Elephas maximus indicus: one gene and its partners. The protein of the gene in region 2 interacts with the protein of the main gene of each other region in a pairwise test. Links are inferred from orthologs where the notes say so. Each region holds a gene or a part of one and is shown on either strand. Other genes may lie near its edges. The genes, in order: MAL2, ARFIP2 and ARF3.

The links.
Region 1: the proteins of ARFIP2 (region 2) and MAL2 interact in binary tests that used the Homo sapiens proteins (3 or more experiments, as listed by UniProt). The two-hybrid records come from large-scale screens. The link is inferred for Elephas maximus indicus from reciprocal best matches to the Homo sapiens genes ARFIP2 and MAL2.
Region 3: the proteins of ARFIP2 (region 2) and ARF3 interact in a two-hybrid assay, tested with the Homo sapiens proteins (2 studies listed by BioGRID and IntAct). The link is inferred for Elephas maximus indicus from reciprocal best matches to the Homo sapiens genes ARFIP2 and ARF3.

What each region holds. Positions count from the first base shown.
Region 1 is NC_064833.1:23,296,001-23,299,748, forward strand, and holds the start of MAL2 (protein MAL2), read right to left. Parts: upstream 2,744-3,748; 5' UTR 2,651-2,743; coding exon 2,519-2,650; intron 1-2,518. UniProt on the Homo sapiens protein: Member of the machinery of polarized transport. Required for the indirect transcytotic route at the step of the egress of the transcytosing cargo from perinuclear endosomes in order for it to travel to the apical surface via a raft-dependent pathway.
Region 2 is NC_064825.1:60,136,388-60,140,135, reverse strand, and holds the start of ARFIP2 (arfaptin-2), read left to right. Parts: upstream 1-1,558; 5' UTR 1,559-1,771; intron 1,772-2,463; 5' UTR 2,464-2,505; coding exon 2,506-2,604; intron 2,605-2,840; coding exon 2,841-2,937; intron 2,938-3,600; coding exon 3,601-3,719; intron 3,720-3,748. Other genes in the region: TIMM10B (mitochondrial import inner membrane translocase subunit Tim10 B), read right to left, coding at 683-859, 1,060-1,155, 1,350-1,376. UniProt on the Homo sapiens protein: Plays a role in constitutive metalloproteinase (MMP) secretion from the trans Golgi network. May have important functions during vesicle biogenesis at certain cargo subdomains, which could be predominantly utilized by secreted MMPs, such as MMP7 and MMP2.
Region 3 is NC_064822.1:104,375,895-104,379,642, forward strand, and holds the start of ARF3 (ADP-ribosylation factor 3), read right to left. Parts: upstream 2,884-3,748; 5' UTR 2,771-2,883; coding exon 2,707-2,770; intron 1-2,706.

The DNA of each region.
Region 1 (3,748 bases), on a different chromosome or scaffold from region 2:
TGCATTTCTAACAAGTTCCCGAGCAATCCTAATACTGCTGATTAGGGACCAATTCCGAGAACCACTAGCATAGCAGTGTTCTCAAAACTTATTCTATATAAGAATCACCTGAGGGATATTGTCAAAATGTAGATTCCGATTCAGTATACCTACCGGAGAAATCCAAATTCTCAGCAGGGGGCCGGACTGGGAAATTAATGGGTTTGAAGCTCTGGTCTCAGGGGAAAGAAGCCAGAGGAAATGAAGAGATAAGGAGAATGGACTGGATACTTCTGGGACACTGGGATCCCTCCTAGGATGGGGAGTGGAAAGCAGCTTTAGCACATGACAGAGTTCACCTTTGCAAGAGAAGAGCTGTCTTCTCTATAGAGTCTTGATGAAGAGCTCCATCTATGGTTCGAGCCATGGCTGTGAATCAGAATCTCCAGGGGAGCTTTCAAAAAAAAAAAGCCTAGCTGACTCTGGGCACACCCCCAGGGACTCTTATTAAATTAGTCTGGGGCTGGCAACTGTATTTTTAAAAACTGTTCAAGTGATTAGGTACAGGGGCAGTCGAGAATCAACCACTAGGCTAGATCAAAAAGAAATATGGGCACCCAGGGGAAGAGAAAGTTGAATGAGCCACCTTCCAGTTTTTCCCCTCAGAGTTAGGCACTGTTATCAAAAGTGTGACATGACCATAGGTGGCTCTTGGTTGGATGGCACGTGGATAAGCCTTCTTTATTCATATATCTATATCTAGATGTAAATATAGATAAGCTGTGGATACACGAATACAGATTTAATATGTAGAAATATACATATTTGAATATGTACTAAAAATATAATCAGCATATCTAATTTGAGATTTCATGTATATTAACACTTAGAATGAGGATAAGGTGGGTACCGTAGAGTCTATTTAAGTGAACATTATGTAAATTCTAGCACACTGGAATGCGGATATGGCAGACACTTATAAAAGAAGTATGCAAACAGCTGGAGTTTGGGGAACAACAGGACTAAGGCAGCCTCCATTCCCACCACTATTGAGTACATTCCGACTCATAGGGACCCTGCAGGACAGAGTAGACCCTATAAGACAGAGTAGTAGGTTTCCAAGGTGCTGCTGGCGGATTCAAGCGGCCGAGCTCTTAAAATTTTTCATCACAGATCTTGCTATTTTTTTAGCTTGTCTCCCTCCCCAAGCAGCTCAGCCAGCCGAATGACATCGCCCTGCTCTCGCTCACCTGGATGTCATCAGAAGCATTTAGATGCTTCTGATCTGGGCTCAAACTCAAAGCAGCCTTTCTTAGACTCACAGTCAGGTTGCCATTACTGATGACTTAGCCTGTAACTCATATGTGTCTCCTTTTGCAGATTCAAATCTGAGCTAAACTTAACATACGATGCCTCAGCCATCTAAGCATAGTAGGGCAGGAAACCAATGCTCACCAGGTGTTCCAGCCCCACAGCCCAAAAGTGAAACCGAAGCGACCCAAATCCAGGTTATGCAAACCCAAAGGAGGGGGTGAAGGGAGAGATGAAAACTCCCAAACGGAGCAAACAAAACCAGCCTGCAGGAAAGGCAGACTCCCTAACATTTCACTATTTGCCATTCTCAAGGCATGATGCAAGCTCGTTGCCCAATTTTTATTTGCACACTTCCCCCTTGTCCACAATAAGCTTCAAAAGCGTCCAGCTCTACAAAATTACTTAAAAAAAAAGTTTCTATCTAGTCTAAAGAGGTTGCATGACAGCCCTGGTGACCCCATCTCTACCTGGGCGAAACTGTGTGCTTAGACAAGGAAGAAGGCGCAACAGCCGGCAGCGAGGAACTTGACAGCCCCGTTTCCACCTTTCCTCCACCATTCTCATGCCCACTTGGTTAGGGAACTGTCAAGTGCATGTACATACCTCACCTTTCTCCCTGCCCTGCGTCCTGAACCCGCGCCTCTCCCCAACCCAAAGGGCACTAAAAATTGCAAGGAAAAATTTTAAAAAAGACACGTCCAGGTCTTCTGCCCTCTCTTTCCTCTTCCTGGTGCCTCTCGTCCCCTCTATCCGATCCTGGCAGCCTCTGGTCACCCAGTCATCGACTACAACTTCTCACCACCCAACAAAATGGCAGGTTAGCAACAGGCGAGGTCAAGAGCGCCTGCTCTGACTCTAGCCAAGCGTGGCCCCTGGCCAAGCCGCCGTGGGTCTCTGACGGCGCCCCCAAGTCCAAACACCCCTTTGCCCTAGAAGCCCCCAATCCTCGGCCTCAACAGGCCGCCAGCTCCCTCTCTCAAGGCCATTCCTGCCAGCGGCGGAGGAGCAGGTGCCAGCGTAACAGGTGCCAGGCGAGAGGGCCCGGGTGACTGCGCCGCCGCCAGGTTCCGGCTGCGCTGGACACGGCGAGGACCTGGGGGGAGGACGCAGGGAAGGCCACATGGAGGGGAGGGAAGCTCGGGGAGGTAGAGGGAGCCAAGACACAAGGATGCCGCGCCTGTCCCCGCTCCCCCGGTGCGCCCCGCACCGAGGCTGCCCCACTTACAATCTCCAGGCAGACGAAGGCGCCGGAGTAGGTTCGCAGGATGTCAAAGCCGACGGGCAGAGTGACCCGGGGCGAAGGGAAGGACGCGGCGGGGTTCGGGGGCGGCGGGACTGACGCTCCGCCGGCCGACATGCTGCAGCTACCACTTCTGCGTCTCCGCGAGCCGTCTCCGCCGCCTCCCGCCTCCGCCGGCCGGGCTCCCGCCGCCGCCGCCGCCGCCGCCGCCGCCGCCGCTCGGGTCCGCGGGGTCCGGGCGCGCCGCGCGGGAGGGGGCGTGGCCGCGCGGGGCTGCGACTCGCGGCGGCCCCGCCCCGTCACGTGGGCCCAGGTGAGCGCGCCTCCGCCCCGGCGCCCGCGCGGTCACGTGCACAGGTGTGGCCGTCGCCTGGCACAATTCTCAGTGCTAGGTTCTTGTTTCCCTCTCCCCCGTGGGCCACCACCCTGCGCTCCCTGGAGCCTCTGAAGGCCGCCTGGTCTTTATTTTCTCTTCTGTCCGTTCTCTTGGTTCCACCTGTTCTCTTCCACCTGTCCTCCATCCAACTTTTACAGTCCCTTCTCCTTTCCTCAATTCAACGGTAGGACTGGTTGTGGGTCTGTGACTCAGAAGGTAAAATTGAAGTCACCAGCCACACCTAAAAAGTAGGGTGAATGCGTTTTATATGAGGCCATGGGGGGAGGGTTTAAAACGCCACTGAGGCAACGTGGCACGTTGGAGTCCGATGCCTCACAGCTCTAACACCTAGCTTTGGATCCCCGAAGGTAACTAGCTGTTTTGCTCGCCTTTGGTATCCTTTTCTGTGAAGTGGGGATGAAGGTCCCTACCTCAAAGAACGTGTGGATTGGATGATATAACATGAGAAAAGAGCTTAGCAAAGACAGTTGTTGTCAGTTGCTGTCCAGTGCCCCAGACTCATGGGGACGCCTTAAATATTATCTGATGACAAGCAGAATTGCCCTCCCAGTGGACCTGGAAGGTGGAGCTGAAGCCCAGGGCCCAGGGGCCTCTACCCAGAATCCAGAGAGCATGGCCAACACCAGAGTGTGGAGGACGGGGCCACTGCCTAGATGGTCTCAAGAACAGAGGATTATTTTCAAGCCTTAGAGAGCTCATGTAAATTGTTCTGCTGGGTTTTGGACTTGCTTGGCGCTGGTTATCCCTTCTTTCCCTCCAATTTCTCCCATATGTACTGGAAATGTCTATCTTGTGCCTGTTCCACCATTGTACTTTAG
Region 2 (3,748 bases):
CTCCACTGTTTAAAGCTTTTATTGCTCATCCTGAGAAGACAGAAAATATTAAGAAAGTGGCCCAGGGAAATGGTAGAAGTTCCAGAACACTCCAGAATTCTTACAAGTTTCATCTCCGTTCTATGTCACTAATTTCATAGGAGGTAGCACCTAGAAGCCCTGTGGTTTCTTGGTTATCTCCTGCCTTCCCTAGACTTGGCAGAATCCTTTCTTAAAAGATATAGTCCATGAAAAAACAGTTATGAACTAACACATACTTGGCTCACAAATGAGCCATTTCAGTCTCAAGGACAGCTAGACAGGGCTCATATTTTGTCATCTGGGCAGGAACCAACATCCTGTTGCTCACACCAACCTTAAAACTGTATCCACAGACCCTACTTTAACCAGGAGCCTGGGATACTGAGGTTTTCCTTCTCCACACAGAAGGCAACTTCTTGGCAGCCAGAGCTGAAGTTAATAGATATGCACTAACTGACAAAACAAATGATGGTGCCAATAAAGTGGGTTCCTCCCCTCCTCCCCCCCACCCCCCAATGAAACACAGTGAAAAAGCAGGTTTATTAGCTCCAGGAAAAGGAGCAAAGGTACCCATCTCTCAGGCTACTCCTCACGTTCTCTGTACAAGCTCTACTCAGCCCAAGGGTCCGTCCAGCCCCTCCCCTTCTGGGGTGGGAAACAGCTAGGTGCCAGATGGCGAGGCTCCAGGCCGTTCAGCAGCAACACCTGGCATGGCTGAGGCAGCCTCATAGTCTGCGATGCGGCGCTGTACCAGGGCAGGCATGAGCTTCACATAAGCGGCCATGAGACGGTGGTTGGAATGGATCAGCTTCCCAGCACAGCTGTGCAAACAGGCCTCCTAAAAAGAAGATAGGGTGGAAGTAGGGGCCAAAGGGGTCCTGTCAGGCCCCATCTCCTTCCTTCCCCAACCCCAGCCTAGGGGTGAAGGCCGTGAAAAGGCCAAGGCCAGAAGTGGAAATGAGTGGTGGGGTTGGGAAGCTGACTACCGTGAACTTTGAGGATCGAGGATAACCTCCCTAACCCTACTCAGGCCCCCACCTCCTCAGCGTCCAGAGCTCGGTGGTGCAGGCTGGGCACGCAGCGCTGGAAGCAGAGTTCTGTCATCCGATTGTAGACCAACAGGAAGTCCCGCAACTGCCGGTAAAAGGGACCAGGAACTCAGCGATAAGGTGTCCCTCAATTCAGCCCAGCCTCCCGGGGTTGCCCTGGGTCGCGCACCACAGCCTGAAGTTCTCAGCCCTCGGATCCCTGGCTCTTTGGGGTACCCGCGACGTTAACAGGCATGGGAGCTGAAGGTATGGCTCTGGAGCAACTTAATCCCGACTCACGTTTCTCAGCTGCTGCTGCGGCTCCATCACGCCGCCGCCGCCCGCCTACATCTCTTCCGTTTCAGCTTGAAAACACCCCGGAAGTAATCTCTGGCCGTTCCCCAAGGACTGAGGGGTTGGCTCAAGGATCGCCCTGCCCTCGGCAGCCAACGTCACTTCCGCCCTTATAATCTGCGACGTGGCCGGCTTCTTCTGCCCGGGAGGGGACGTCACTTCCGCCGAGTCCCTGACCTGCGGCTAGGATCGCGACGGGAACTGGAGCCCGAGGTCCCCGCGCCGCCCGGGTCTGGCGCCCTGAGGGGAAGAACGGCCCGGCCCGAGGTGAGAGGGACATACTTGGGCGAGAGGGAGTTGAACGCACAAACCTGAGGGCAAGATGCTCCTGAGCACTGGGGAAGGATGAGCGCACACCTGATGCCCAGGTGAATGGGGGAGGGGCGGGGACTCACACACCTGGGAAGACATAACTGACTTTGGAAGGGATCACTTATGTCCTGGAAGGAAGAGGCTTTTACCAGAGGCGGGAAACATACACCAACTGATTCAACTAAGGCCTGGTAGGGAGGGCCTGAGAAGGAGAAAGAGGTGCGTGGGATGGAGGAAGGAGCGACCACTTGAAGGAAGGGGGAAGAAACACTAAAGGAGTGGTAAAGGACAAGCAGTGCAGCACATACCTGAATGGCGAGTGGGCACCAGAGCCCTGGGAAGGGGTTCATCTCCTGGTGGGAGGAGGGGGGAAGACACACCTGAATGGAATAAGCTCCAAGAGGGCACAGACTTTATCTCTGTTGTTTACTGCTGTATTCCCAGGGCCTCAAATCGTGCCTGACACAATGCAGGCACTCATCTAGCATCTGTTGAATGAATGAATGATTACCTGAGTCCTGGTGGGCTTGGGAGGTTATGAGAAGACACCTGAGACCTAGGTGTGCATGTATAAAAATGTGCACCTTGGAGAGGATAAATTCATATATCTAGGGAAAGGAGTGGTAGCTGAACCCAGGACATGCTTAAGTGCTGGGGATAACCTCTAAAACCTCAGAAATGGCAAGAGAGGTCTTCCCCTTCTGGAGTGCTGGCAACTTCCCAAAACCACCTGTGTTGGGCTTTGCAGGGCCCAGGGGTGGAGACTTTGACTCCAGTCCCTGCCCCAGCCATGACGGACGGGATCTTAGGGAAGGCAGCCACAATGGAGATCCCTATTCACGGGAACGGTGAAGCTGGGCAGCTTCCTGAGGATGATGGGCTGGAGCAGGTGCTTTTCTTTGATTCTTCTCCTAATCAAATCCCAACTCAAACTCTGGGCTCTTATTCCATTCCAGTAGCCTTTCCCTTATCTAACTCCTGTCAATCTTTTTATAAATCTTCATTCTGATTCTGTGCAGATATCCCTTGCTCTCTCTGTGATGCTTCAATCCAACCTTGTTCCCACCCCCAAAATGATTCAGCTGCCCCTATGTTCCTGAAGCCTCCCTCTTCTCTGGCCTATAGGACCTCCAGCAGGTGATGGTGTCAGGACCCAACCTTAATGAAACCAGCATTGTGTCTGGTGGCTATGGGGGCTCTGGTGATGGACTCATCCCAACAGGTATGAATAATCAGAGACAAAAAGCTTGAGTCCACAGTGGGGACAGGAATGGTTCTGGGGAGCTTAGGATATGCCTAGGGACACTTGAATTATGTCTGGCGGTCTTGGGAACTCCTGCCAGTATGAACCCCAATGTATTCAGCCGAAGACCAGCTGCCAGCGTTGGCCTTCTGCTACCACTTGCTACTTAGCCCCTCAGATGCACCTTTTTATCCTTTTTCGACTGCCACCACCTGAGCCAGGTTAAGATGTCTAGTTCACAGGAGTTCCCTTGGTTTGGAGCTTAAGACTTATTTGGAACTTTGTGAGACTTCTCGGGGTTTTACTTCAGACTCTAAAGTTTAGAGGAACAAACAGCCCTGAACCTTACACAGACTGGGATTCCACATGGGAAAGTCACCAGGTTTCCTGTTACCAGATCCCATCATCATTGACCCCATCAGAAGATGGCCAGAGGAACTCATGGAGATGTATGCTGGGATTTAGGTCTTGGGGTGCAAGGTACTAGTTCCCCCTAGTGAGCAGGAGGATCTCATTGTGTCTGAAGCATTCAGCTGCTTCAGAGATGTCATTTTTATGTGCTGGGAGGGAAGTATGGATGGGGCCACAGAGGTGTCTGGTTGTATCTGAGAGAGGCTGGTGTCAGAGAACTTGGTCCTTTAGGGTCTGGCCGGCATCCATCTCACAGTGCCACTCCCACTGGCCCTGGAGATGAGGTGGCTCGGGGCATCGCTGGAGAGAAGTTTGACATCGTCAAGAAATGGGGCATCAACACATACAAGGTGGGACTCAAACAACTTTTCCTATCTTC
Region 3 (3,748 bases), on a different chromosome or scaffold from region 2:
AAGAGACTTGAGTTAGAGATAGAACTCTTTATTAGCTAAAATCAGGTGCAAATAGAAGGTAGTTTATTTGGATGCAGCATGGTAAGTAAAAGTGATGAGGGATGATGCTGGAGAGATAAGCAGGAGGGCTAGATTTTAAAGAGCCTTAAAGACCAGGCTGAGTAACATGTTCAGGTATGTACTTTAGAAAGCTCATTCTGGCAGCAGTTTATGGAATGAATAAGACGGGAGAAAGACTAGAGGCAGAGAGAGCACTTGGGTAACAGTAACACAGATGAGAAATTACGAGTTCTTAACTAGGGGTGGCATTAGAGAGGAGAGGGCAGATTGGAAACATTTGGTAGAAGCCACAGGATTTAATGACTGATTAAATGTAGAAGGAAGAAGAGTCAAAGATAACTCCCAGGTTTCTGGCCTGGGTGAGTGGGTGACATTTCCCAGATAAAAAATACAAAAGGAAGAGTTCTGGCGGAGGGGGGGCGGGGGATTTTTTTTTTTTTTTATATTAAACGTTGATTTTGAGGCGTTAAGGTACAAAGCTCAGTAGAAAAGTCTGGGCAGGGTATTTGAGAATCATCTGTGCAGATGGTAACTGAAACTGTAAGAGGAACCAAGATAACCTAGGGTGGCAACAAATATTGGCTGCCTCCCCAACAGCCATTCTCTCCCCCTTCTCTCTTCTAATAGAATTTCTATTTTGTTCAGATGATGGAGGGGGGGGATATGAGATGTGCTGCAAGCAAGATGGCCTCTCTCTAGCCCAGGCAATGAACCGATTAACCTAAAGAATCTGGGCATTCCATTGCTCTTGCCAGGGATTGGGTCAGGAACGGGCATGTACTAATTCTAGTCAATAAGATGTGGTAAAAGTCTGCTGGAAGCATCTGGAAAAGTTTTTCTCAACCTTAAAAAAAGGACATATGGCACTGTTTTCTCTCTAGCCTTTGGATGTTGATATGTAAGGATGATGCTTGGAGCTGCTGGAGTAATCTTGAAACCATGAGGGGACAGACATGAGAACCCTAGGATGTCAGAGCAGAAAAAAGGGGAAAACTTGGGTCCTTAATGACATTGTCAAGCTGGTGGATTAAAAAATCAAACAAAGAAGAAGTGTCTATCCCTAGACTTGTTATGTGATTTAATAAATCCCATTATTGTTTGACCCACATATGTGTTCTCTATCTTTTGCACCTGAAACATCCTAACTGATATAGAGTGTATACAGTGGGATGGGAGAAAAGGTCAAATGTAGAAACCTGGGACACATCAACAGTTAAAGTAGTGGGCAGACAAAGAGCCAGGAATGAAACTACGAAATAAGATGGGTAGAAGGGAAATCAAGAGGGCAAGATATACAGGCACCAGTGAGGAAACAGCATAAAAAAGGAGAGAGGGTGAAAGGCTGTAGATAAAGCCTGAAAGGAACCTACAGAACTACTAGGCAATCAATGAGGACCTTGGTATAAACTAGAACATATCCAAATAAAATTAGACCCCGCTTAACTCAATTACAGTAGTAGTGTTCAGGCTCAGGCCAGAAATGTTATGCCAGTTTCCCTTCTAGTCCTAACCAGAGACAAAAAGGGTTCTCAAGAAGACTCCAAAACAGAAACACCTGAAGGAGGCCACAGCTACCAAGCAAAGGAGGATCCTGAACGTCCCTGTCTGTTGGAGACTCAACCCTCTGGGAAGGGTCTAGCTTTTCCATGAACAACCCTCAGCAACTGAGTCAGGAGAGAGCATTCAGGGTCTATTTCAGAATTCCTGGCCTAGCCAAACGAAACAATGACCAGATAAAAACTCATTTGTTTCTTTAAAATATTCTGTGGCACTGCCCTCTGACCAAAGCTTTCAGCTTGTCCTATTCTGAGAATTTGACCAGTTTACAACTGTTTCTGATATTCTATGGCTGTTTCAATCCCCACATCTATAGCCTTACTTATCCAGAAAACTGTGCTTGCCCAATTGCAAAATCAACTGAAATTCAAACATAGTTAGCCTAAAGCCCTAAACCTTTATTTCCAATTTGGTCCCCCAGAGTAGGTCAAGATGGTAGCTGACAGCAAAGAGATCAAACAGGAAGCCAAGGTCTGGACAAGGCCAACCATTATAGAATAGTTTATGGATATGGGAAGCCCTGGGGGCACAGTGGTCAAGAGCCCGGCTACTAACCAAAAGGTCAGCTGTCTGAATCCACCAGCCATTCCCTGGAAACTCTATGGGGCAGTTGTACTCTGTCCTGTAGGGTCACTGAGTCAGAACTGATTCGACGGCAACGGGTTTTAAAAAAAAAAAGGGATGAACAGAAAACTGCCTACCTTGGGGAATAAGAGTTGTCGGCTCCCTCAGCACCTCAAACACACTTCTACTCTAGGACTTACCATAGTATGTTTAATTCGTCTTTGTCTGTTTCTCTCTCCAGAGCTGATGTTTCCCAAACAATGTGCCTCTAACGTGTTATAGGTCAGGTGGAGATACTGATCCCAGCAGCTACTAGATGGCTGGGCAGGGAATGGAATGGCTAGAGCCCTTGGGCCAGTCATTTCAGGTTTCAAGCAGCTGTGTGTGCATCACTATTACTATTTTCTGCATATGCCAGGACGGGGAAAAAGCTAGGAAGTACTTCACTAAAACTATGAGCCCCTTACCAACAGGGACCATGCTTTATTCTATTTTGTGTCCCCGGGATCCAGCACTATGACTGACCTGTAGCTAGTGATTGACATGCTTCTTGTTGAACAGCATGGCTCTCATTACGGTGGCAAAGCATTTGAGAGGCTGAGAAAGACAGAATTCTATAGATGATCCCCAGTCCTTTTCCTGTATGTGACAAACTGGAGATGTGGTTTCCATGTTCTCAGAGCCCTAGGTTCCTTGGACAGGATTCAGAGGTTGCCTGGGTGGGGAGGAGGAATCATATGAGGGCTCTAATTATTCTCCCAACTCCCCAGTACCACCAGAGCAGCTCCACTTTTATCCATTTTATAAACAAAAGCAAGATTTTATTTAAGGAAAAGTTTCAAAGCCTTAAAAAAAAAGAAAGGACAAAAACCACTGCAACAGAGAACAAATACTCCACTACATTCTAAACTCAGGCTAAAGTTTAAACATTCATGCTTGACACTCCTGTACATAAGTTAATAAAGGAAAGGTTATGCCAGGGTCTCATCAGTAACGGAGTTCTAAAAGGTACCAGGAGAACTGCCACACCCAGCCATCTCACCTTTCTTCAGGAATATGCTGAAAATGGTGGATCCCTGAAATCTTGAAGCATGTCCTTTCTGATGCATATGGTGTGGCAGATCCCTTGCAGAAGTCTATTACAAAGCTCTTATGCGTTTGTCAAATCCCCACCTCAGTCAGTTCTTTCTCATACTACGTACCAAAGCTTCCAAACATTCGTGAGACTCTTTCTAAACGCTCCCCATGTCTTTTTGTTATCAAAAAGCTTTATTAGTACTCTACCTATATTTGCAACAGATGCGGTAGATGGAGAATTACAAAGATATCACAATCTGGACCTTAATACAGTGCATTCTGAAACAGATACTCAGAGGCGGACATTTAACATAGAGCTAACTAAATAGAAAGAGTGGCCCAGGAAATGGAGAATCCTGAAATACTGATCAAGGACTAAAATAATGGAACCCAAGAACCTAAATCCCTGACCTGTGTCAATCAGCGTGTTCTTTTATGGAAAAATCAACCAATATGTCAGAGCCACATTGACTTTTCTAACATGTGCACT